4 linked regions of the Drosophila melanogaster genome follow. Changing the gene in region 1 together with any one later gene gives a genetic interaction. Each region holds a gene or a part of one and is shown on either strand. Other genes may lie near its edges.

Region 1 (5,008 bases):
GTTTATTTTTGGTTTAAGCATTAAATGTTTTGTAAACTTTATATCTTTAACTTTTGGTTTGTTTGAATGCTGCTTTAAGTGCATCCACGATATGGAGATTTTGCTTGTTTTTCGCAACATGTTTGTGTACAATGTTAAAGTGAAAGAGAAATTCCCGTGCATATTGCAGCTTTGTCCTTTTTCTGCCTGACTGCATCCCTATCTCGTTTTCGGGGGCAAGTCAAAGTCAATGGGATTAACTGACATTTCGGTGTCAGTGGCGCAACCAGGTTAACAAACACTGCACCTCGAAACCATGCTACATGGTGCACACCCGCCCACTGGCACACACGTGCAATTGTTTCAATGTCAAGTGGCGTCGATTGCCCTCATCTTTTGGCGGATGCAGACGCACTTGGACAAAATCTAAGGCTAAGGCTAAGGCTGCAGCTGCAGCTCACAGATGCACTCGACGATGAGATTCAGGCTGATGCAGGATAGAGATGACAGCAAAGACAATATCTACATGATGATTTTTTAGCATCTTTAAATTCTTAAGCTATGTTCAGATAATTTGCACTGTTTTCTTAGATTTGGCTAATTCTAGTCATTATTTTATATATTTTTTAAAAACATTGTAATTATTTCATCACTATCGAACTGTTTGGTACTGAAACCACTTTAATCGGACCGAGTCATCCGCAGGCCACATGGCTCCTCGAAACTGTTTAGGTTTTCACACTCGCCTGCCACGAGGGCGGATGCAACTGTTGCTGCTGCCATTGTCTAAGATGTTGCATGCACAGTGGTGCATGAGTCCATTTTATTTTCGGATATCCATGCCACATGCAACACCCAAAAGTTGACCCAAATTACTTCGGTTTCGCCTTGGCCAAAAAAAACACGCTAAAAATAGTTTTGTCATGGAATCGATTCATCAGCACTCAAATAGAGTGGAATAACCTTGAGTTCGATTCCTTTTGTGGGGCAACAAGTCATTACATTTAATTTAAATAACCAGTCAGTACATACAAAAATCATAGTTTTTGAATTTACTTTTATTCCAGTCTTTGAATCTTCTAAAAAATGTGAACTCTGATATAAGCCTTGATGGAAATTGAAGAGCAGCTAATCCAAAATTGCGTCCAGTACATCCAGCATTTCCGCCGCAGAGTAAAAGTGTGTGCAATAAATATCCCCCTATCTATCGGCACATAAAACCGAAAATAAAATTTTCCAAGTGCCCCGGAATCTGGCGGCCGATAGATAAACCAGCAATTTCCACCAAAATAGAACGAACAATAGAGTCGAGTCGAGTGGAAAGGTAAACGCTGAGCAGGATTTCCATTTCCGGTGAGAAAAACCCAAGTGGAAAAACGAGAAAAAGCGACGAAAAGTGCACTTACCCAGCAGCAGGAGCTTGATGTCCTTGGCCGCCTGGATTCCATCCTCCTTTAGATTCTTCTCGATCTGTTTGGATCGCTGGATGGCGGCGCGTTCTTCGGCGGATGTGGTGCAGCCCATTGTGGTTGGGTTTGGATACTGATTTGGATTCGGATTCGGATTTACACGGGGCTTTTCGGTTTTCGGGCTTTTGTTTTCCAATTTTCCTGGACTTTTTTCTTTATGTCTTATTTGCTTATGTACAGTTTAACGATTTCAACTGAAATGGAGTATTGAACCCATCAACAATAACAAATACACGGGTCAGCGGATGATTCACTATAAACAGTGCGCGATCGATAAGGCGAACCAATGAATATCAAGGATGTGTTAAATATACAGCCGAGTTCAAAATAATAATGTTGAGTTATCTTAAATTAATTTTGTCTGCTGTGTATAAACACAAATTGTAATTGTAATTGTAATATTCTTTCTGTTACTCAACTATTATGAGAAACACAGCTGTATATTAATTTGTATGTAATAGTTAAAAAGATTATTTTAAACTGATGTTACAAGGTTTATGGAACACATCGTTCGCTCTATGGATGTTGTACTGTACTGAGACAAGCACTAATTTTATGACCGCCACTGTCTGTGCAATGGGCCGCGCACTGTATCAATTATGTTGCTTTTGTTTTTTATCAGCAGACGCAAAGTAAAAATAAAAGCAATGATAGCCAGCTAATTTGCATATGGAGCATGTTTGCGATATCGATACAAAATTCATCAATCGCGCTGATAAGATAAATCCATCAGATAATGCTGGATCGCGATAAGAACGATGGTAATTTATCATGTAAGTGAATTAGTCTCGAGGTCAAAGAGCCAAAAACTCAAGCTTATTTTTTGGATACCACTTATTTTTTGTTGTCACACTTTTAATAAAACTTTTATAAATTTTGTTTGTTTTTTTTTTTTTTTGGTTTTATTTGTATGTTTTTTATGCAGTGTGTATGTATTAAGCGTGGGCGTAGGCGCTAAAAAAGCGCCGGGTTGGTGGAAAAAAAGGCGGTGGGTTGTGGAGTTTTCTTTTTCGAGCGTTTGCCTAAGCACATTAACATATGCAAAAAGTAATGCCGTTTTTATGCAAACTGTTAACCATTTCGGATGTATAAATTTTCATTTAGTTTGTCGCTGTTTCACTCACACGCGCGCACACACTCACTCACTCACACGCACGCACTACGCACTCTCACGCGCTGCACACGCCACACCCCCCGCCCACTGGGCCGCCACCCACCACCCCACGAGTTTTCCTTTTCCTTTTTTTCAGCTTTTTTCAGCTTCACATTTACCACCGCCTAGTTTTCCAGTCGTATACACACCGCACTAGTGTATGCGTGTGTGTGGGTCTGCTTCAGCCTGCTGTGTGCGTGTGTGTGCAGGAGGCTCTCTTTTGCGTTTGGCTGTTCTTATTGGTTCCGTTCGCTTTGCGCTTCTTTTTCGCGACTCGCTGTATTTATTGCACCGATCGTGATAGTTTACCGTTGCACTTGCCGAGCACTTGCACTTGTATTTTTGGCCGCAGTGATATTGGTAAATTGCACTTTTCTGGTGTGCGAAAATTTAGCTGCTCTCTCTCGCTTCGTTCGCTCTTTCCAACTGCAGAGCGAGGCGTTCGAACAGCTGTTGGCGGCGTCGGTGCGCAGCACTGGACGCGGCGGGGGTGGCTGTTGACCAGCACTGGCCGCAACAACAGCTGCTGCAAAACAAGCTTATATTTAAAAATTTAAATTTGTTAAAATCTTCCGCTATTTATATACATATAATTTAATAAAATGTTTTATATAAATATGAAAGAACATGCTCACTTTAGTTTCAATAAATATTTTGCATCACTTTGTATGTACAGACATTTATTTTTTTATTATGTTTTGAAACTTATCTGGATTTTAAATAGCAGGCCACTCAAAAGGATCTCATGAATACAATATTTGAGCTTTAAGTGATACAAATAGAGATATATTTTTTATTTATATTATTGCAAATAATTATTAAAAATTCGCATACCTTTCATAACAATTGCAGTGCATATTCTCCCAAATATATTCATATTTAAAATAAAACAACTATTTTAATTTAAATTCGCCTGAGGTTTGAACGGTTAAATAAAATAAATGATTAATTCAACAAAGTGTGCACTTTCCAGCACTATTTATAGCAACAGCCGATTATTATAGCAGGAATCTATCGATTATACTTAACTTTCTTAGCCAACACTGTCGTTATATCATTGTTTTGGTCGTTTCCTAAAATGTTGCGGCAATTTATAGTAAGTTTATGGCCCCAAATGTAGTAAAATATAATTGATTGCTTAATTGGACACAGGTATCTACGGTAGGCCGTCGCCTGCAACTACCTATGATGGCCCAAAGTCGCCTCGCCAGCAATTTGGACAAAACTGAGTACACAACACCCGGGGAAATTGTGGACTACGATGATCCGCCGCATTTGCCAGTTCCGGAATATCCTGTCCGTCCCGATGAGCCGCTGGAAACTCGCAAGCAGCGGTATACGCTTAAAATGAAAATATCCCAAACTCCTACTTATGATCATTCATTATCTTGTGCAGCCTTTTGTATCAAAGCAGGAAACGCGGAATGCTGGAAAACGATCTCTTGCTGAGCACTTTTGTGGCCAAGCATTTGAAGGACTTCAATGCCGAGCAGACCGCCGAGTACGATCAGTTGATCAATGGTGTCAGCAACGACTGGGATATATTCTACTGGGCCACCGATACCAAGCCAACACCTCCTCAATTCGATACCGAAATAATGCGTCTGCTAAAGGAGCACGTCAAAAATCATGAAAAAGTGCAAAGGATAAGGCAGCCGGATTTGTGAACATTATAAACTATATTATATATATAAGCATACAAAACAATGTATTAAATGAATGTGTTATTCTACTCCTGATCCTTAAAAGACCAATGACTTGAACTTGCATTTTACCTGGTATTTAAAAACGATCATTTATACGGAATAATAAATAATACGGTTGCAAGTGATTTGGTAATTTGAATGTGCTTTCATTTTTATTTTTATTTGTTGAAAACTTCAGCTTAATCAACAAATCATGACATTTGAAAAGATACAATTTTAATATATAAAACTGAACACATTGTCAGAATGGCATATATTTAATCCAATTTGAACCCCCTTTAAAACACAGTTCTCGCTTTCCTGAAATACACATCCATACAATATATTTAAACGATTATCCAGTTAAATTCTATTCATGTTTGCCGAATGTGTGTATGACCAATCTTGTATATATAGATTAAATTTTAATACGCTTAAACACTATAGCGAAACATTACACTTAAAATGTTCATTTGCTTTTGCTTAGTCTTGCCACAAGACACGGGATGGCGCGGAGTCCATCGAAAATCGCTGAAAACACGGAGAATTAAAACGCGAATGTCTACCAGTTAACTATGGATTCGGTTCTATATTAACATGCTAAGGAGATGATTGAACAGCTTTTGCTCCAGGCTAGTCCCTTCACTATCAATTCTAGATTATATTTTGGTGTGTGATTGTTGTGTTTCGGGCGGTGGAAGCGAAAAACAAAGGGCTAATTC
Region 2 (4,904 bases), on another chromosome or scaffold:
CATTCGTCTGGGAACTCATGACCTTTGTAAACAAACAGACTGGCAGATAAAACACCTGTAAATCCCCACTTCAAAGCAGCACCACCACCCACAACAACAATGCCAGCAGCACCACCCACTCACAGTGGGCGCAACGTGAGGAAAGGCGGCGTGAGTTGGGACCGCTCGATTCCCACCGGATGTTAATGTTTTATTTGGATTTCAAATTTTCTGTTCGCTGTTTTTAATGCACGCTGATTTGTTTGGAAGAAAATAAACAATTTTGAAATTTATTTAGTTGGGGATCTAGGGATCGCTTGGTATGGAATGCCATGTGATCCCATGTGCGGCTGCTCTTTCGCATTTTATAGCCGAATAAATATGCAATGAGAATTGCTAGTTGCCATAAGTAGTTCGAGTTTATGACTGCTTGTCGATCCTATGGCCGAGCTCGTTCCCCACTGGGATGGGGGATGTTTGGTGACCCCGATGGGTGGTCGTGAGTCACGCCCGCAGCTTTCGTTCGGCACCCAATATTTGCATATCTTTTGTAGTCCACCTAGTGACCTTGGGGACGCCGAGCCGCAATCAATCAAGCGTACAAAACAGAGGGTGGAGGGGGAGGGGGAGCATCTTGCAACTGTCGCCGCTGTGGAGTCCCAATACACGGATACGGAGACGGAGACAGATACAGATACAGATGCAGAAGAATTTGTCTCACCTTGTCAATCACTTTTTGGAGGGCAAAAGCAGAAGTCGTGGAAAGGGTGGAAGGAAACTGAGGAGAACCACCAACGAAATATGTGGGTCAGGTCTTCAATGTTTTCCCGCATATTGGATGTCATCTTTCCCGCTGCCCCTCGGCGCTGACATATTTTCCGACTTTTTGGCCGATCTCTGATTTCCTATTTCGCGTTAATATTTTCGTATTTTCATACCCTATAGCATCCGTCAGTCGGGGGATATAGGTGTAGAATCTCTTTTAATTCGCAGACTACGTATGAATTTAATGATCTATTTTTTACATTTTTGTTATGTCACAAAAGGTTTTCCTACGCTTGGGCATAAAAAAGTTCTTACCTAACTAAGTCACAGGCATTGTGATGCATGAACAAAGTCGAAACATGGGCGGAACATCACGTTATGCGATGTAGAGCACTCGTTGAGCGAGGGTATTGGAACAGTCAGAACCCATATATCTGGGCTTCCTCTTCTCGACGGTTTTTGTTCCTCTATTTTTTTGTGGCACATGCGCGCGTTCCGAGACCGGACGATTTGACGCTGTACTCACGTACGGCGTATGTCGGGGCATTAAAATTAAATAAATATATATATATATTCCCGGCTGCAATGGGTAGCGGCAGACAAAACCAAAACTCAAATTCAAATTCAAATCGAGGCGAGGCGAGGCCCACTCAACAACGCCCAAATTGGCAATTTTAATTTGATTTTCTGGCCGTTTCAACCGCTGATTAGGCGATGCGATGTGACGGCGCTGTCCAAGTAAACATTCCGTTCCCCGAGTTCCACCGAAGGTTTTGCCAAACTATTCAGCAACTATTATCAATTCTGGTTCGCCAAGGGGGTTTGCGTTTGCCTGGCATTGTCGGTTCAAGCCTCATTGTTGCCGGACTGGCTTGTTTATTTGAAAATTATTCCCCGCTTGACATAACCCCACCCCTCGCACCTTGCAACCTCTAAAAGGAGGGTTCCCACAGGGGGGGGACCGTTCTCCCGTTATCAAAACATGAACATTTCGCCGCAAACGCTTTTCCCAAAACAAAAACAAAACCTGGCAACGCAGAGAGAAAGCTTCTCAAACAGAGAGAGGTTCTCAGGGAGAAACCGAGAAAATGCCAGAGAAGTGTGTAACATGGTAAAAGCTCGCGGCGAAATGTGCGAGACTGAGAAGCTTCAGCTCTCTCGTTTTTGCATTTCAGCAGCATTGAGATTTCCACATAGATTTTCCCAACAGACATTCGTCGTTCGCCGAAGCGTTCGGTCGTATTAGCGGAAGATTTTGGCCCGAAAACCCGCCCGAGATTTTCTCCGGAGGAACCCTCTCCGGGTCCCCAGAATCCGTATCCGTATCTGCAGCAGCCGAGTGCGTGTGTGTTTCTCCGTATCTGTGCGTTGTGACTAAGCCGACAGTTAAAAACTATAGCTAAACTAAAATAGGAGAGCGAATCCAATAAAAAATCCCATTACCACCGGAGAGGTTATCTTCGTTTGCCAGCGGGTGCAAAATCTGAAATTGAAATTTCGCTGCTTACGAAATACAAATTCCACTCAACGAAGTTTTCATCTGAAAGTCAAAAACTTTGGCACAGGTAACGCACCGAACAGAACCTTTTCACTCTGCGGATTTATCAGGGAGTTGAGTTTTGAGGGCGGAGGAAAACGATTCTCGAGTTCAGCACCGCACACACAAAATTAAATTAAAATACAATCTCATTCAGTTTATTTGTTCAGCATCGTTTTCTTTCACGGCTGCCTAATTGAAAATTGTGCTGAAAAATGCTGTTGCCCCCTTCTCCCCATCGTGCGTCTGCCGTTATAGGCAAACTGGTCGATTTCTATTCGAGCTACGCCAAATTATTTGTTGTGCCTCGCTTCCATTCTCGTTCCTTTTCAAGTTTAAATATTTCGCTTTTGATTTGGAAAACTTGAAAGATCTCTGTCGATAGCCAAGCTAGTGATCTGTCGCGGGGACGAAAGGCGTTTGTCAATGATTTTGCGGCGCTGCCGCTGTTGCCTTGCCATTGCCAGTTGTACTTGAACTCGTACCGAGCGCGTGGCGTGGCGTGGCGCGTATCTCGAAATCTTTGAGATACTGCTGGCTTGGAAATCCGAGAACGGGGCAGATAACGCTTCACTGGGTGGCTCGTGAATCACGCAAAGCCAGCTTTTGATTTGAGATCTCCCAACGATACGTGGCCTTTAGGACATTAAATACGTTTGGAAAACTAAAAAAAACCAAACCAGTTATTGCAATGGGTATTGGCCAGTCAGAGGTGGATATAGGTTCTTCACAGTTTTATGTTATAAGTAAGAAATACCATACCATAGTGTAACCTAAAAGGTATAACATTCATCTATACTGAAAAAGTCAATTTTATTAGCAATTAGCAACCATTCAATTTTGGAGCGCCTCGTCGCCCAATTGAAAGGGGAATCGTTGGAGAACCCCGATTCGAGCTTGTTATCAGGTTATGGCCAATCTGTGCGATGAATTCGAAGCGGGAAGCTGCAAAAAGCTAATGAGTAGCGCATCAGATATCACATCAGCTCCTGGTGCCAATTAGCGAAACGCTTTAAGTTGCCAGCTCTCTGTGTCTTCGCCTTCTTGCTATTCCGCTTCCATTTTGCAGCATCCACTTGTGTGTTCAGTTAGGTCCTGTTTCAGTTGCCACTCGAGGCATTTATCAAGTTGAGGCATCAGCTGCACCACTGATATGCAATTATCCCACTTGATTGCTGCACCACGCCCCTTTGTCTCCCTCGGCCTCCATTTCAAAGGCAGCTAGTTTCAATCATTCAAACACAATTAAGGCATTAAAGGACACAAGCGCCAGAAAGGACAATTAGTCTGCGTGGGTGAGTGTTTGGCTAATTATGCTGACATGGCCATGCCTCTGCTCCTGCTTCACTTCCACTCGGTTTTCCATTTTCCATTCTATCTTCATTCTCTACCCGCCTCATCCGATTCACCACTTGAGGCTGCTCATTAATTATTTAGCAGCCGCCAACGCGAGAATACAAAACTGAATAAAAGTCGCGCATACGCAACGTAGGTCACTGGGAAAATTAAACAACTATCGTACGTATGGACGTACACTGGAAAAAGGTTGTTTGCATACTGGCAAGACCTCGATTGTCAAAATAGTTCTGTATCCCTTTCTTCTGAAAAACGCATATAGTGGTTTTAAGGATATGTAAAGTATGGAACTTTTTTGAATATGCAAACCTAATACAAAAAGGTGAATAAATGATTTCCCTAGTCCTATAAATGTACGTAGTATTGCTCTAGGTGTATACAGTGTATACATTTCCATTTGAGTCCAGGCTTGTGTATCTTAAAACGAACCTGTTGTTAAATCCATGTAACTTAACCTGACCAACAATGTTGGAGCGCGACTTTCTCGCTGTGTGGCACCCATTTGGTTGCTCCTGGTGATAGACCATTGCACAGCGATCTATCATTATAATGAAGCGTCAAATCTAATACGTCGGACAATCCGGTCGACATGGGTGGGGGTGTGGTGTGTGTGGGGGGTTCCTACTCCTGCTCTCTCTCTGCTTCTGCTGATACTGCTCTGTCCCCAGACTGATAACGTTGACAAACTAGATAAAAGGGCGATAAAAATGGAAAAGAGAAGCAGACATATACGGAAGTGTTAAATTTAAAACAATAGACTAAGTGAAAACGTTACTCAGAAATTAAGTATTCGTTCTTATGCGATAAGCTCACCCGGATTCTAATTGTATTTCGTTTATCGAATTTACTTACTTTCAGCATCAACATTTCTCTTCAAATAGATAAAGTGTTACGCTAATCGTTGTGTTTTGAGAGTGCTTGTTGGAAAGAGTATCACAAATTCGTTTTATGCTATACCGAATTTTAATTCTTGGCGTACAAACAAAATAGAACTAAATTTGTGCGCGCAAACGTGTTTCGGGTGTGTTAGAATATATTGGAGTTTGTTTGCGGTGACACTGAAACGCGGTTTTAATTAATAATTATCATTTTCTGTCACAAATTCATTTTGTTTGCGGTGGCTTTATGTAAAATCCCACCTTCCCGCTTCTGTCGCCTATTCTTGATTATGCATGACCACAGTTGACGTGGAAAGCTGTCGTAAATTGACTGACCAACCTTGCCGCAATCAAAGCGATGGTTTGACATTAAAGTTATAGACCCGCAG
Region 3 (7,489 bases), 7.4 Mb from region 1:
CCAAGGGAGAGTACCTCGTCTCCGGTTCGGATGATAAAACCGTCAAGAGTAAGTACTAATTTAATTGACAACCTTTTAGATATCTTCTTACTAATCCATCTCACCTCACAGTTTGGGAAATTGCAACAGGTCGTTGCATTCGCACAATCGAGACCGACGAAGTGGTACGCTGTGTGGCTTGGTGTCCAAATCCCAAGCTGTCTATTATTGCGGTGGCCACTGGCAATCGCTTGCTGCTCGTCAATCCTAAAGTGGGCGATAAGGTGCTGGTGAAGAAGACCGACGATCTCTTGGCTGAGGCGCCCAGTCAGGATGTCATTGAAAGTGAACGCATCAAGACGGCGGTGCAATGGTCAAATGCGGAAGCTGATGAGCAGGAGAAGGGCGTCCGCGTAGTGATTACCCACTTCAAACCCATCCGACAGGTGACCTGGCACGGTCGTGGTGACTACTTGGCCACAGTGATGCCCGAAGGTGCTAACCGCTCGGCTTTAATTCATCAGTTGTCCAAGCGGCGCTCACAGATTCCATTCTCCAAGAGCAAGGGTCTCATCCAATTCGTGCTCTTCCATCCGGTGAAGCCCTGCTTCTTTGTGGCGGTAAGTGGGTTAATTTTCTTTTGTTAGTATGTCTTATTGAATTCTGTTTTTTCTTTACAGACGCAACACAACATTCGCATTTATGATCTGGTCAAACAAGAGCTTGTCAAGAAGCTGCTGACCAACTCCAAATGGATATCGGGCATGTCTATTCATCCCAAGGGCGACAATCTGCTGGTGTCCACCTATGACAAAAAGATGCTCTGGTTCGATTTGGATCTGTCCACAAAGCCCTACCAGACCATGCGACTCCATCGCAATGCAGTTCGCAGTGTTGCTTTCCATCTTCGATATCCGCTCTTTGCTTCCGGCAGCGATGACCAGGCTGTGATCGTCTCCCATGGCATGGTCTATAAGTAAGTGGCTATAAATCAACATTGCCCAAGGTTAATTACGAATTTCTCCAAACTTTTTTTTAGTGACCTGCTGCAAAACCCTTTGATTGTGCCTCTCAAGAAGCTGCAAACACACGAGAAACGCGATGAGTTTGGTGTGCTGGATGTTAACTGGCATCCGGTGCAGCCATGGGTCTTCTCCACGGGCGCGGACAGTACCATCCGACTATACACGTAATTTAGGTGTACAAACCCCAAGAAAGTTTCTTTTAGTTTCCGAAAGTTTTGTGAAATTTCAATAGTAAATAAAAAATATATTAATTTTTATGAAAAGTAAAGTATTTCATATAACCATTTCATTCGAACATTTTAAAAACAACGGTTTTCGAAATCAACGGGATCCCAAAATCAAAATGTAAGTGCAACCCTGCCGAAAGTTTATAAGTTCTGGCCCCAAAGCTTTGCGGTAAATTCCAGTGGGGCGAAGAGTCCCGAGCTTTATTCTCTTTTTCCGACTCGCGCACATGTCTTACCGTCCGTTCTCTCGCGCTCTCCGCCTGTCAGTCCCTCTCCTGTGTGTACCAGGAATTCTAACTGTATAGCAATTCCACAAAGCTTTTCGCTCAGTCCACCTATGGAGCCCTCCCCCGGCTGCCCACTTTCCACTCGCCGTTATCTTGCGTTCCTCGGGAGGAGCGCGCGCATTGGAAAATCAAAATCAAGAGCTGGCGACACGGCACTGCTTGGAAATCAGTCGCCTGCCTTTGCCCGAGCGGAGAGAATCTCGAAACGCTCGAATCGACCCGTCGAGGATTTTGGCTTCAGCTTCTGGGTGCTGCTGGTGCTGAGCAGCCAAAATCGCAGAGCGCAGAAATCGAATGGGAATTGGCTGCCATTGCGGGGGCACCGAGCACGAAGGAATATAATAAAATATGGCCGAGGGCGAAATGTGAAAATGTGAAAATGCCAGTCCAGGCAGTCCAGTGACCACGAAAATTGCAGTTTCCCCCAATTCGTATTCATACACACACACACATTCTCAACAGTCAACGAAAAAAATCGTAAAGAAATTCACAAAAAAAAAATCGAAGCACAAGCAAAACAATTTCGGGGCGAAAAAGAAAAATATATACAAATATACACATTTCGATTCCGATTCTAGTGGCAAAAATTCGTATGTACTCGTCGCTGCTCCTCAAAAACATACATACATACAAACGCGACCCCCTTTTCCCGCCCACCCATTCGCCCAAAAATCCTCAAAGAAAATATAAACGTGTGTGTGGTGTTTGAGTGAAAATCTGAACGGAAGCGCTGGTTCAACAACAAGAAAATAAAACAAAATATACATATAATATACATAGATAGCCAGGCTAAAGGCAATGGTCAACAAAAGAACCCAAGCAGCTGATTTGTGATAAGTGCAACGACCAAAAATCGCTGGCGTTTCGAGTTACAAACAAGTGCAATTAGCTGCTGATGCCTACATGTTGCAGCTGTTGCAGCAACATCAGCACAAGTGGAGAAAATCACGCATACGCCCCATCCGCCCAACGGGCCAAACAATGCGCTCCACTTAGCCAAGTTGCGTGTCAATGTGGTGGTACTCCAGCCCACCCCCTCCTCACGCACACACGCACAGACGCACGCACACAACGGCGCCTACATATATATGTACATATACAATGGCAGTGTAATGACTAGCACAAGAAATAAATAAAGGCCAGAACAACAACTACGGTGGCAGCTCCAGCTGCTCATAAATTTCGTAACGCTTGTGAAATGTGCCCCTTGGTGCACGGGGCCATTGAATCGCTAGATTTTCGCCCGTAAATCCGGAGCGGAATATGTAAATGCCACCCGCGCACCGTCAACTCTCTAAAGAAACGCTAGACCCCCTAGAAAAAAAAACGGAAACCAAACCCACGCGAAGGTTTGAAGTCAGGAACCTACGATAAGGATAACTACTACTCGAAAAGGTTATCGAAAAAATCTTGAAGAATTTCTGGAATTTTTCGGCTTGTAAAATCGCCCAAGGAAAAGCTAAGGAGAAGGAAAAAAAACATAAAACAAAACGAAAACTAAAATCAAGAGCAGCAGCTGTGGGCAGAGCGAGAAAGAGAGGACAGAGCGCCACAGGGAGAGAGAGAGAGAGAGAGAGAGTGTGTGGGAACTTTCGATAAAAAATTATTAGCAAAAACATAAATACGTAACGGTCTCCCTGCATACCCCACATCCCCAAGGAAGCCGAGAAAGAGAAGCCGAAGCAAAGAAAAGAGCACCAAAGCGAGCGGGTGAGTGGGTAGGTCAGTGGCAGTGGGCGGTCCGCCAGCTGGGGCAGCACCACCTCACCACCCAACACCCATCACCATCTCCACCTCCACCATCTCCGTCAGCTCCGCCAGCGTCAACCTCAACTTTCAAAGGGCAGGTAAGTGCACACGGAAAACGAGGCGAATCGGGAGCAGTTGGACCTACTCCTCCAGATTACACTTTCCCGAATATGTATTTATTATATTTTGATAGTTTTGGTAAATTAAATATACAAACAATCAATGTTTTAATAATTCAACAGTTTTCTTTACTATTTAATCTTTAATTTCATATAAAGTTTCTTTGTGATAAATGCAAAGAACAAATATTACAATTTTATTTAAAAGGTGTTTTGACTAGATTCAAATAACATATTTATGAATATAATGTTTATAATATAAATATAATATTTATAATAATATTTATAATATAATGAATCAGTTTCAGTATCTTTTGAATGACATCTTGTCAAATTAATGGGATCCAAACCAAAAAGACAAACACTCACCAGCCAAGACAATTAAGTAGTTAAGTTCCGGGCACCTTGGTTAACAATTCTTTCTAGATGACTAATAGAGCTATTTTTTGCAGTGTGACTGTGATTCGCCCAACTGTCAGCACACTTTCCCCCCACTCCATCCCGTGCACAGTGTTCATTAACGTTTCAATTTGTTCCTTTATTGCAGGTAGCGGCATGTCCTGCACCGTTTCCGAGCTGCCCAGTGGCTGTCGATTGCGCGGCATGACTGCATCCTCACAGCAAAGTGCCGCCAACAATAGTGGCAACAATGGGAATGGCAATGGGAACGGTGGCGGCGGGGGCGTCGTCGGAGGTGGCGGCAGCCTGGGCGGAGTATCGCCCACCGTGGGCGGCAGCGTGGGAATCCTCGGCTCCACGTCCAACGTGCTGCAGGAGTCGAACGCGACCACGTTTCAGCGTCCGCAGTCGCAGAAGCCTTGCTGCTTCTGCTGGTGCTGCTGCTGCTCCTGCTCCTGGTGAGTATGGAGGCCACCACCGAGTGGCCTATTTGTGCACCGCTCGAATCCTCTGACACGAAATCAATTTCTTTCTCGTTACCGCGCTGCCTTGACTCAACCGTTCGGTCATTAAAACAACTACCTGTGCCAATACCCATCCACTGCCAACCACATCCTGACAACAGGGCCAAATGGTAAGCACCTCCTGAAACACTCATGCATTCATACACCGAGAGAATCGATTGGTATTATTGGACTGTAAAGTATAGAATATTAAATGCGCAATTATTTTAAATACGTAATTATTTTACCTAGTTAGCTTTATTTTCAAGATATACTATAACAGATGAACCAATCTTTGGTTACATTAACATCGTTATTGTTAATTAATTTATTTATTTTTACTTATTTCAATATCAATTTTTTGCAAATTTTTTATTTTTTTATTTTATAAATCATTTCATTTTAAAGGTTGTCTGTTTGAGCCCTTTTTTTAAGAGAGTCGAAATATTATTAGTCCATGTTTCTCGCAGTGCTGTCATGGATGTGGCCACGGTTACAGCTATGGTTATTGCTTTGGCTTTAACTATTGCTTGGCTTTGGCTTTGGCTTCGGCTATGGCTGTGCCCACTGACATGGATATGGATATGGATATGGATAGGGAAGTTGAAATGGAAATGGACACGGTAAAGGTGGCCTTCTGCTGGCAGCTGGCAACGCTGCTGAACATCCAAAAGCTCTTTCTCTCTCCGCCATGCGAACTTTCTCCGCTTTCTCTCTTACGAAACGCTCTTTAGCACTGGTGCCGCTCTCTCAGTTTCTCCCGCATTCATTCACAATTCCGTGAGCAAGGCGACGGGCAGCGAAAAGCTCTCTGGAGGGCACTTTTCAAATCAAATATAAATAAGTATGTGGCGGCTCCTCCGCGGACTCCTCCAAGTGTTGCATGTTTTCGTGAATGAAAACGAAAGTCTTTTGCGACCCGCCGCCAACTCGCAACCCCCCGTCCGCACCTTTGTGTGCACAACTTGGGGGTATATCGCCCCGAAAACCCAGTTCAGAGCACCCGATGTCGCCTCAAACCCCCCCTGGCCGCATCTAATTTGATTCATATATGTATAGGGGTATATGTACGCCTGTGTGACTTTGATTAGGTATTGGGCCAGCGAGTCGCTCTGATAACTGTCGTCCAGATAAGAGAGCTTTATGTCAAGTTCGAGTACTCCGTTGCTCTGTCTCCGGGCTTCGAAACCCAAAACCGATATGCCATTAGCCTATCTACAGTGTTTATTCGAGGCATTATATCTTTATATCGCGTTCAGATATATGAGTAACTTTTAAACTCTCTAGCTTAAAATGTGGTAGAATCGCTTATGTTCAGTTTCTATGTTTGGTGCAAGTGTTTTATAAAATGCTAATCAGTAGCTTGCGCTATCTAAAAGTTTACGTTATCGAGCGGCTACTGTACTTACATATTTATGCTATTTTGTGCCAGTTAAAAATGAGTCAGGCTGAGCGCCAATTCAGCGATGAATAAAATTGTAGTATACTTTAAAGGGTGATTGATGAGTTGTAAAATCAAAATAATCGACTTTTAACAAGCAAACCCCCCTTGTTTTTTCCCTTTTTTCTTATCTTTACAGTCTGGCCATCAAGAATGCCGATGAAAATGCCCCCACGAAGCGAGATCTGGTAAATGCCGAATTCTTGGATGGCGAGCAGTGAGTTTGAGCACCAATCAACTTAATAAACTTAAGCCACGGAAAAACTACATTTATTTGTACATTACAGACCCACACTGGAGGAAATCCGCAGCTGGGGCAAAAGCTTTGACAAGCTGATGAAAAGTACAGGTAAGCCATTGACAATTGCCACCTTGATCCAAACTAATTGGTGGTTGGCCGAATATTTTCCCAGCTGGTCGAAAGGTGTTCCAGAACTTCCTGCGCAGCGAATTCAGTGAGGAGAACATCCTATTCTGGCTGGCCTGCGAGGATCTCAAGAAGGAGAATAGCCCAGAGTTGGTGGAGGAGAAGGCGCGCCTCATCTACGAGGACTACATCTCGATCCTGTCGCCCAGGGAGGTGTCGCTGGACTCCAGGGTCCGCGAGATTGTCAACCGGAACATGATCGAGCCCACGACGCACACCTTCGACGAAGCTCAAATCCAGATCTACACACTGATGCACAGAGACTCATATCCGAGGTGAGTGCTCTTTAGGCAAAAATAAAAGATACTGTATTTATACTTAAACGGGGTATCTTTTTCAACAGATTCCTAAACTCTCAAAAGTTCAAGACACTAGCTCAACTGCAAGACAACTCGAATGCCGGTTCCAAAGCGGATAGTCCAACTTAGAGAGGATGGCTTGATGTCCCGGATCGGATTTGGATTTGGATTTGGATCGAATTCAGTTGCGCTGTGTTGACTTCCGCTGTTGCTCTCCACTGGTATATCTCTGATTTTCCGCCCCAATCGCTGCTGCAATCGACTAAGCAATATGTATCCATTAGTAGAACCATTTAACCATTTTGCGAGCAGCCACGAAATCAGGATCCTGGTTGGGGCCGGTGAATCAGACGTCGTGCGTTCAATGTGAATCGGATTCCTTTCTCTTCCTACGTTCTAGTCGTTAGCTAACCAAAGAGTTAGGTATTACAAAATATGTTTTCACTAAGAAGCAGGTTCGACCACAGAAAGCATTTTCCAAAACAACCAAAAAAAAACAAAAAAACAGAAAGAAAAACAACAAGAAAAAAATACCCAGAAAGCTAATACGAAACGAGCGACACAAATAGCATCCATTGTAATACTAGTGATCTAAGAGACGTATTAATCAAATTGAAACCAAGATTACGGAACCCGCTAACTGATAAGTATGTTTAAACGTAATCATAAACCGCAACGTAACAGAAATACTTTTTCCAAAAAAACATTACAAAAAAAAGAAGGAAAGAAACCAAAAAATCTTTTTAAACGTATTACATACATAAACTTTATAAACTTATATATACAACACACCAGCATATATATATATATATATATATATAGTAAAATTGTTGTTTTATTTATGAGTCGAACTAATGTCCCGTCAGTTGACTAAGGACAACGCCAAGAAATAAAAAATAGTTTTTAGGAGAAATAGTTTCACGACTTTATTCTTTGGATCTCAGCTTAAGACTAAAAATCAAATGCAAATTGGATTGAGGAGAAGCCTCAGTATTTGAACAATATTTGTATTTCGGGAGAGCCTCGCTCTTGGG
Region 4 (4,753 bases), on another chromosome or scaffold:
TAAGTAAAAAAAATCCATTTATTTTGCAATTACACATTTTGATTTATATAGTGATCTATTCGGTTTTAATATAATTTCGCCGAAGTATTCTAGAAAAGCGACCTTTAATAAGCAACCGAAATACTTTGCGATCCTTAACGCTTAAATGGGCGTCCGAAATGAAGTTCGTTTCTGGCATATAGCTGGGTATAAATTTCGAGTTAACTGTAAATCCCTTTGCGTAATACCGTTTATTCTAAAACACAATTTCCAAAATACGATATTAGAGAGTTTTATACAATTTCTTACCAGTGTTAATTACCATTTTCAACGGACATTGTATAGGAAAATTGGCGGTTTCGCGAAGCTGCGTAGTAACCATTCTAAATAAAAAATGATTTTCCACACTTGATAGCATCTGACAATAGTCTACATGTGAAGAGGTAAAATTCGTCACGTATGAACCTCTCTTAAATGTCAAAATGTAAATGCCCTTCAGGTCCTCAACATCTTGGGTTAATATGAACTCTGCGTATATTGAACCAGTGGGGTGGGAAGTTTCATTTAAGTAGCAGCTTACGTTTCTCACCAATTCTGGCATATAATTGAGGCACTCAATTTTCGTCATAAAAACTTCTTTCTATACGTTGAGATAGGTTAATGTAGTAGGACTTACATATATGATTCTATACTACTGACCTCTGCACGAACACTGCTCAAGATTAGGGTCCCCAGAATCAGGTCAACCAATATAAAAAGCTTTTTGACGTTCATACTAGTGGATAACTAATTGAAGACTAAAATCTAATGCATTTCAAACGCACGTAGGTGTGTATATTTTAAAATAAATGGGTTTTTAATGTGCTCAATTAGTGTATTACCTAATTTGTAATTGCTTATTTTTGTTGATAGAACATTAATATCGGTAAATTATTTGGACTTTTCAAGTTGGAGATGCGCAAAGTACTAATAGTATAAAATAATACTATAAAATTATTATATTATAATATATTATAATATTATATTATAATAATTAATACGGATTAGAGTGGGAGATCTGAAACAAATTTGCACGAATATGAAGCATTTAGAATCAGCTTAATAATAGTTTTCTAGTAATAACATATTGAAATAATTTGTATTCTTAAAAAAGAAAAACGGGTTTAAGATGAGTGATGATTTAGCTAGAACTTATACGTTTTCTTTATTTTACTGCGAACGCGATTTTACTGAATATAATTTCTATCAAAGCCCTTGAAGTAATTATCTTGATACCTATTAATTCTTCTTTAAATGGGCTATCCATACTATTACGCATTTATATTTAATTTATTTTTGATTTCTATGACTAATTTCTTGGTTAGATTCAGGACGATTTCATCATATTTTGAATAAGTGGTGCGAAATTACTTTTTTATTGGTCCATTCGACCAGTCTAGCATACAAAATATTTTCGTTAATAACATTGCATAAATTTATAGCTCTAATATATTTTATAATGACTTATTTATTTTGCAGAAACTTGTTTCAAAAAATTAACGTTTGGTGATTCGTTTGGTGATTACGTTACGTGATTCCGGGCAGGCCTTACGTTTCACGTAGCTCTGTTCCGTTTACCAAATCGTTTCGCGAGCTTTTTGGACCGGCGCATTTGTAATTCCATCTCTCTATTTTTCCTCCCCCGCATTTCTTAATCGTTATCGCTCTCTCTCTGCGAATTTTGCAAAACAACGGCCGGCCGTTTGGAAAAGTCGGAAGAAAGTCAGTTGGCAAGTGGAAATCACCGGAAAAACTACACAGCGCGGCAGAAGGAAAAACGTGAAAATCGCAGACGCTTACACCGCAGACGGGAAATAAAAAAAGCCAAAAAGCAGCCGCGAAAGGCAGCGCAGTCGACGTTGGCAGCGCCGAGGGCTGATAACAATAGTTAATAACAATAACAAAGCGGAATAAAAACAAAAGAGAGAAGCACATGAAAAGATAATATGTAAAAACCGAAACAAACAAAAAATCGCGCGTTTAATTAACGGACATACGACGTGAGCAGCGCGGTCGACGCCGCAGTCGCAGTTGGCGTCGCAGTCGCCGTCGCGCATTGGTGTGTGTTTGTGTGAGTGTGCGTGAGTATCTGTGTGAGCTGGAGATATAAAACTGCAATTGATTGCAATTTCGGCGGCATTTGCAAAATAGCAAGCCGGCGAAGAACACAAAACCGAGAAATCGAGAGATCTGCAAATAAAATATACAAACAAATAAAAATATATTAGTAATAAACTTATACAAAAACACAACAAATATAAAATCAGCACAACAAAAACACAGCCAAACGGTAAAGATACGAAAAAGCTAACTCATTTGTGTATCTAAAATAATAACAAAAAGCAATTCGAAAATGAGTACTTCTTGCATTTGTGTGAGCGCAGCTGTTGATGAAAGTGAAGGAAAATCATTCACATTTTCTACGGGAAAATGGGAAAGACAACAACAGCCACACACTCACACAGCTGCAAAAGAAAAGAGAGCACAGAGAGCTAAACTCAGACGACGCCAAGTTCTTTTTTTCCGCTTTTCCGTTGTTTGCATTTTATTTTTGTTTTCTGTTGTGTTTTTCGCACACAGGGAGGAAAACTCAGCCACTTATAAGTTTAAATTTTGAGTGTACACATCTTGTTTCAGTTGTTGTTTGTTTAAGAACATAAACTTTTTATAAATTCAAATGTTAAACGTAGATATTTCGACGTAGCTTTAAAGGACTAAATACTCTTTATATTGCTTTTTTTGCCCAGAATATAAAAGAATATATTTAACTTTACATAAGCTTATATTTCCAACAACGCTAAAAATACACTTTTTAACTTGTTGATTTCTTGACCATTTTTGTTAAAGTTTTTCGGAATTTCACATTTTTTTTATAAATGTAAGTTCGAATATTTATTTCTTTTTCCTTATTACACCTTATTACACTTTATTAAAGTTCATTCAAGTTCATTAACAAAGACAATATTATTTTTAATTAAAGTCTAAATTTGAACGATTTTTTTTGCATTTGTGGAATAATGTTGAAAACAATAAGATTGTTGTAAATAATCAATAAAGAATTGATCCAAGACAGGTCAATTTTTTTCTGTGTACATTTACGAGTCGAGTTCACAAGCCAGACAGCACTGTTGCTTTTGCTGCTGTTTTTGTGAGAGTATCTCATAGCTAGCTACCTAGCTGCAAAAAGTATCTAGATACTTTTGCCGAGTTTCCTACTCTTTTATCCGGCTGTCTGTTTATTGAGACGCGTCTTCAAGTTTTTTCCCCACATCATTGCATTCTTTAATTCCCTACATTTTAAATAGGAGCAGTTTCAGATGTTTCGAAATATTTATAAATATTTTCTTGCACTCGCATGTTGGCCGGCAGTCAAAGTAACACTCAACTTCAACTTCTGTCTGCGCACTCTAATTGAGTTAGTCTGGCATTTCAATGGGAGCAGCAAGCACACGCACCGCTTCTGGTCGAAAGGGGCGGAATGGTATTAGCAAGAAATGGGGGCGGGGCCGGGCTCCAGACTCAGCGGGTGGGAAATCCGGGGGGTGGCTCTTGCAGGGGTCACAGCCTAACCCGTGTGTTAAATTATGCAAAACGCTAAGGGAATGTCGAAGCAATAAGTGCAGAAATGTTTACATTCTCTGGCCAACGAAGAATATTATTCATATTTGCGTTTGGGTTAAATAAATAGGAAATTTGGTCATTTTGGTTAATTATTTTCCTAAATAATAATTAATTTTTGTTTCTTGTTATTTCTAATTATGCAATATTTATTTAGTTCTTTGAAGTAATGATTAAACCCAATCTTAATTTTAATTTCCCTCTACTTCCTTCTGATTGAGTGTATTAAATATTTCACTGAAATATTTTTCTTTTTCATTAATGCAAATGGCTTTTGAACTATTCCACACACCCACTGGTGTCTCATTTATATCTTCGCAAAGCACATTCATAAAAAAGGAACCTACAATTTCGCTCCAAACAACTTTTTTATCATAGCCCGGCTTACACGTACGAACACATATATTTTTGGGTATTTTAAAGGGTTAACACACGCTATACGACTGCCAAACTTTTCCACGTTGGCTTTTTGTGCTGGTCCTTTTATTTTGTGAAAATGTTTGGCATTTTTTGTATTAAATTGTCAGTGAAACGAGCGTTGGACCGTTTCCGAGGGGCATGGCAACAATTCAAAACGTGAACTGCCACTAAAACATGCCAAAAATCTGCGCATTTAAAATATTTGCCCCAGAGCCCATTGAGATCCAGCCAAGCGATGGATGGGCGGCGGAAGGGGAAAAGAGGAAAAATGCAGGCATTTTCCTGCGATTTGATTTAGTTGTTGTTGGCCGGGTTACACCTTTTCACTCACACCTGTCGTCTGTGTTTTTCTATTTTCAATTTTTTTTTCAGCAAACTACACGTCTGCGTTTTGGTTGCCCCCTGCAAGTCCTTTGTTTTCTATTTAATAGCTGTTTTAGCCACTTGCACGTGATCAACAATTAATTGGCAATATCTTTTTCAGGTTCGTCAAATCAAGCGGATCTCTCCAGCCAAAATAATCAGCAATCTGATGTAGCAAACGCCTATATATAGAATATACGAAAATGCAACCATTCCGTTCCGCGCCGTGCTAATGCAAACGTATACGATCCGAAACCGATAAATATAGAAATACAATAAACCCAAGTGAAATAGCAATTTTAAACGCCAATAAAAACAAAATATACCAATTACA

The links.
Region 2: of Galphao (region 1) and Plc21C, changing one suppresses a phenotype caused by changing the other (phenotypic suppression), as found in Drosophila melanogaster (one study listed by BioGRID).
Region 3: of Galphao (region 1) and Dhit, changing one enhances a phenotype caused by changing the other (phenotypic enhancement), as found in Drosophila melanogaster (one study listed by BioGRID).
Region 4: of Galphao (region 1) and fz2, changing one enhances a phenotype caused by changing the other (phenotypic enhancement), as found in Drosophila melanogaster (one study listed by BioGRID).

Annotation. Positions count from the first base shown.
Region 1 is NT_033778.4:10,436,009-10,441,016, reverse strand, and holds the start of Galphao (G protein alpha subunit o), read right to left. Parts: upstream 3,033-5,008; 5' UTR 2,911-3,032; intron 2,770-2,910; exon of another isoform or gene 2,666-2,769; intron 2,547-2,665; exon of another isoform or gene 2,525-2,546; intron 2,412-2,524; exon of another isoform or gene 2,280-2,411; intron 1,647-2,279; exon of another isoform or gene 1,643-1,646; 5' UTR 1,572-1,642; exon of another isoform or gene 1,504-1,571; coding exon of another isoform or gene 1,386-1,503; intron 1-1,385. Other genes in the region: CG12895 (uncharacterized protein), read left to right, coding at 3,680-3,697, 3,754-3,935, 3,998-4,268. UniProt on the Drosophila melanogaster protein: Guanine nucleotide-binding proteins (G proteins) are involved as modulators or transducers in various transmembrane signaling systems.
Region 2 is NT_033779.5:308,297-313,200, forward strand, and holds the start of Plc21C (phospholipase C at 21C), read left to right. Parts: upstream 1-1,903; 5' UTR 1,904-2,309; intron 2,310-4,904. UniProt on the Drosophila melanogaster protein: The production of the second messenger molecules diacylglycerol (DAG) and inositol 1,4,5-trisphosphate (IP3) is mediated by activated phosphatidylinositol-specific phospholipase C enzymes.
Region 3 is NT_033778.4:17,791,186-17,798,674, forward strand, and holds Dhit (double hit), read left to right. Parts: upstream 1-1,684; 5' UTR 1,685-3,365; intron 3,366-3,933; 5' UTR 3,934-3,941; coding exon 3,942-4,243; intron 4,244-4,410; coding exon 4,411-4,419; intron 4,420-4,700; exon of another isoform or gene 4,701-5,868; coding exon 5,869-5,946; exon of another isoform or gene 5,947-6,016; coding exon 6,017-6,078; exon of another isoform or gene 6,079-6,142; coding exon 6,143-6,431; exon of another isoform or gene 6,432-6,499; coding exon 6,500-6,584; 3' UTR 6,585-6,943; downstream 6,944-7,489. Other genes in the region: CG5033 (uncharacterized protein), read left to right, coding at 1-48, 112-599, 660-955, 1,019-1,172.
Region 4 is NT_037436.4:19,232,360-19,237,112, reverse strand, and holds the start of fz2 (frizzled 2), read left to right. Parts: upstream 1-1,739; 5' UTR 1,740-2,099; exon of another isoform or gene 2,100-2,308; intron 2,309-4,540; 5' UTR 4,541-4,753. Other genes in the region: CG33647 (uncharacterized protein), read right to left, coding at 56-235, 302-619, 679-753. UniProt on the Drosophila melanogaster protein: Receptor for Wnt proteins.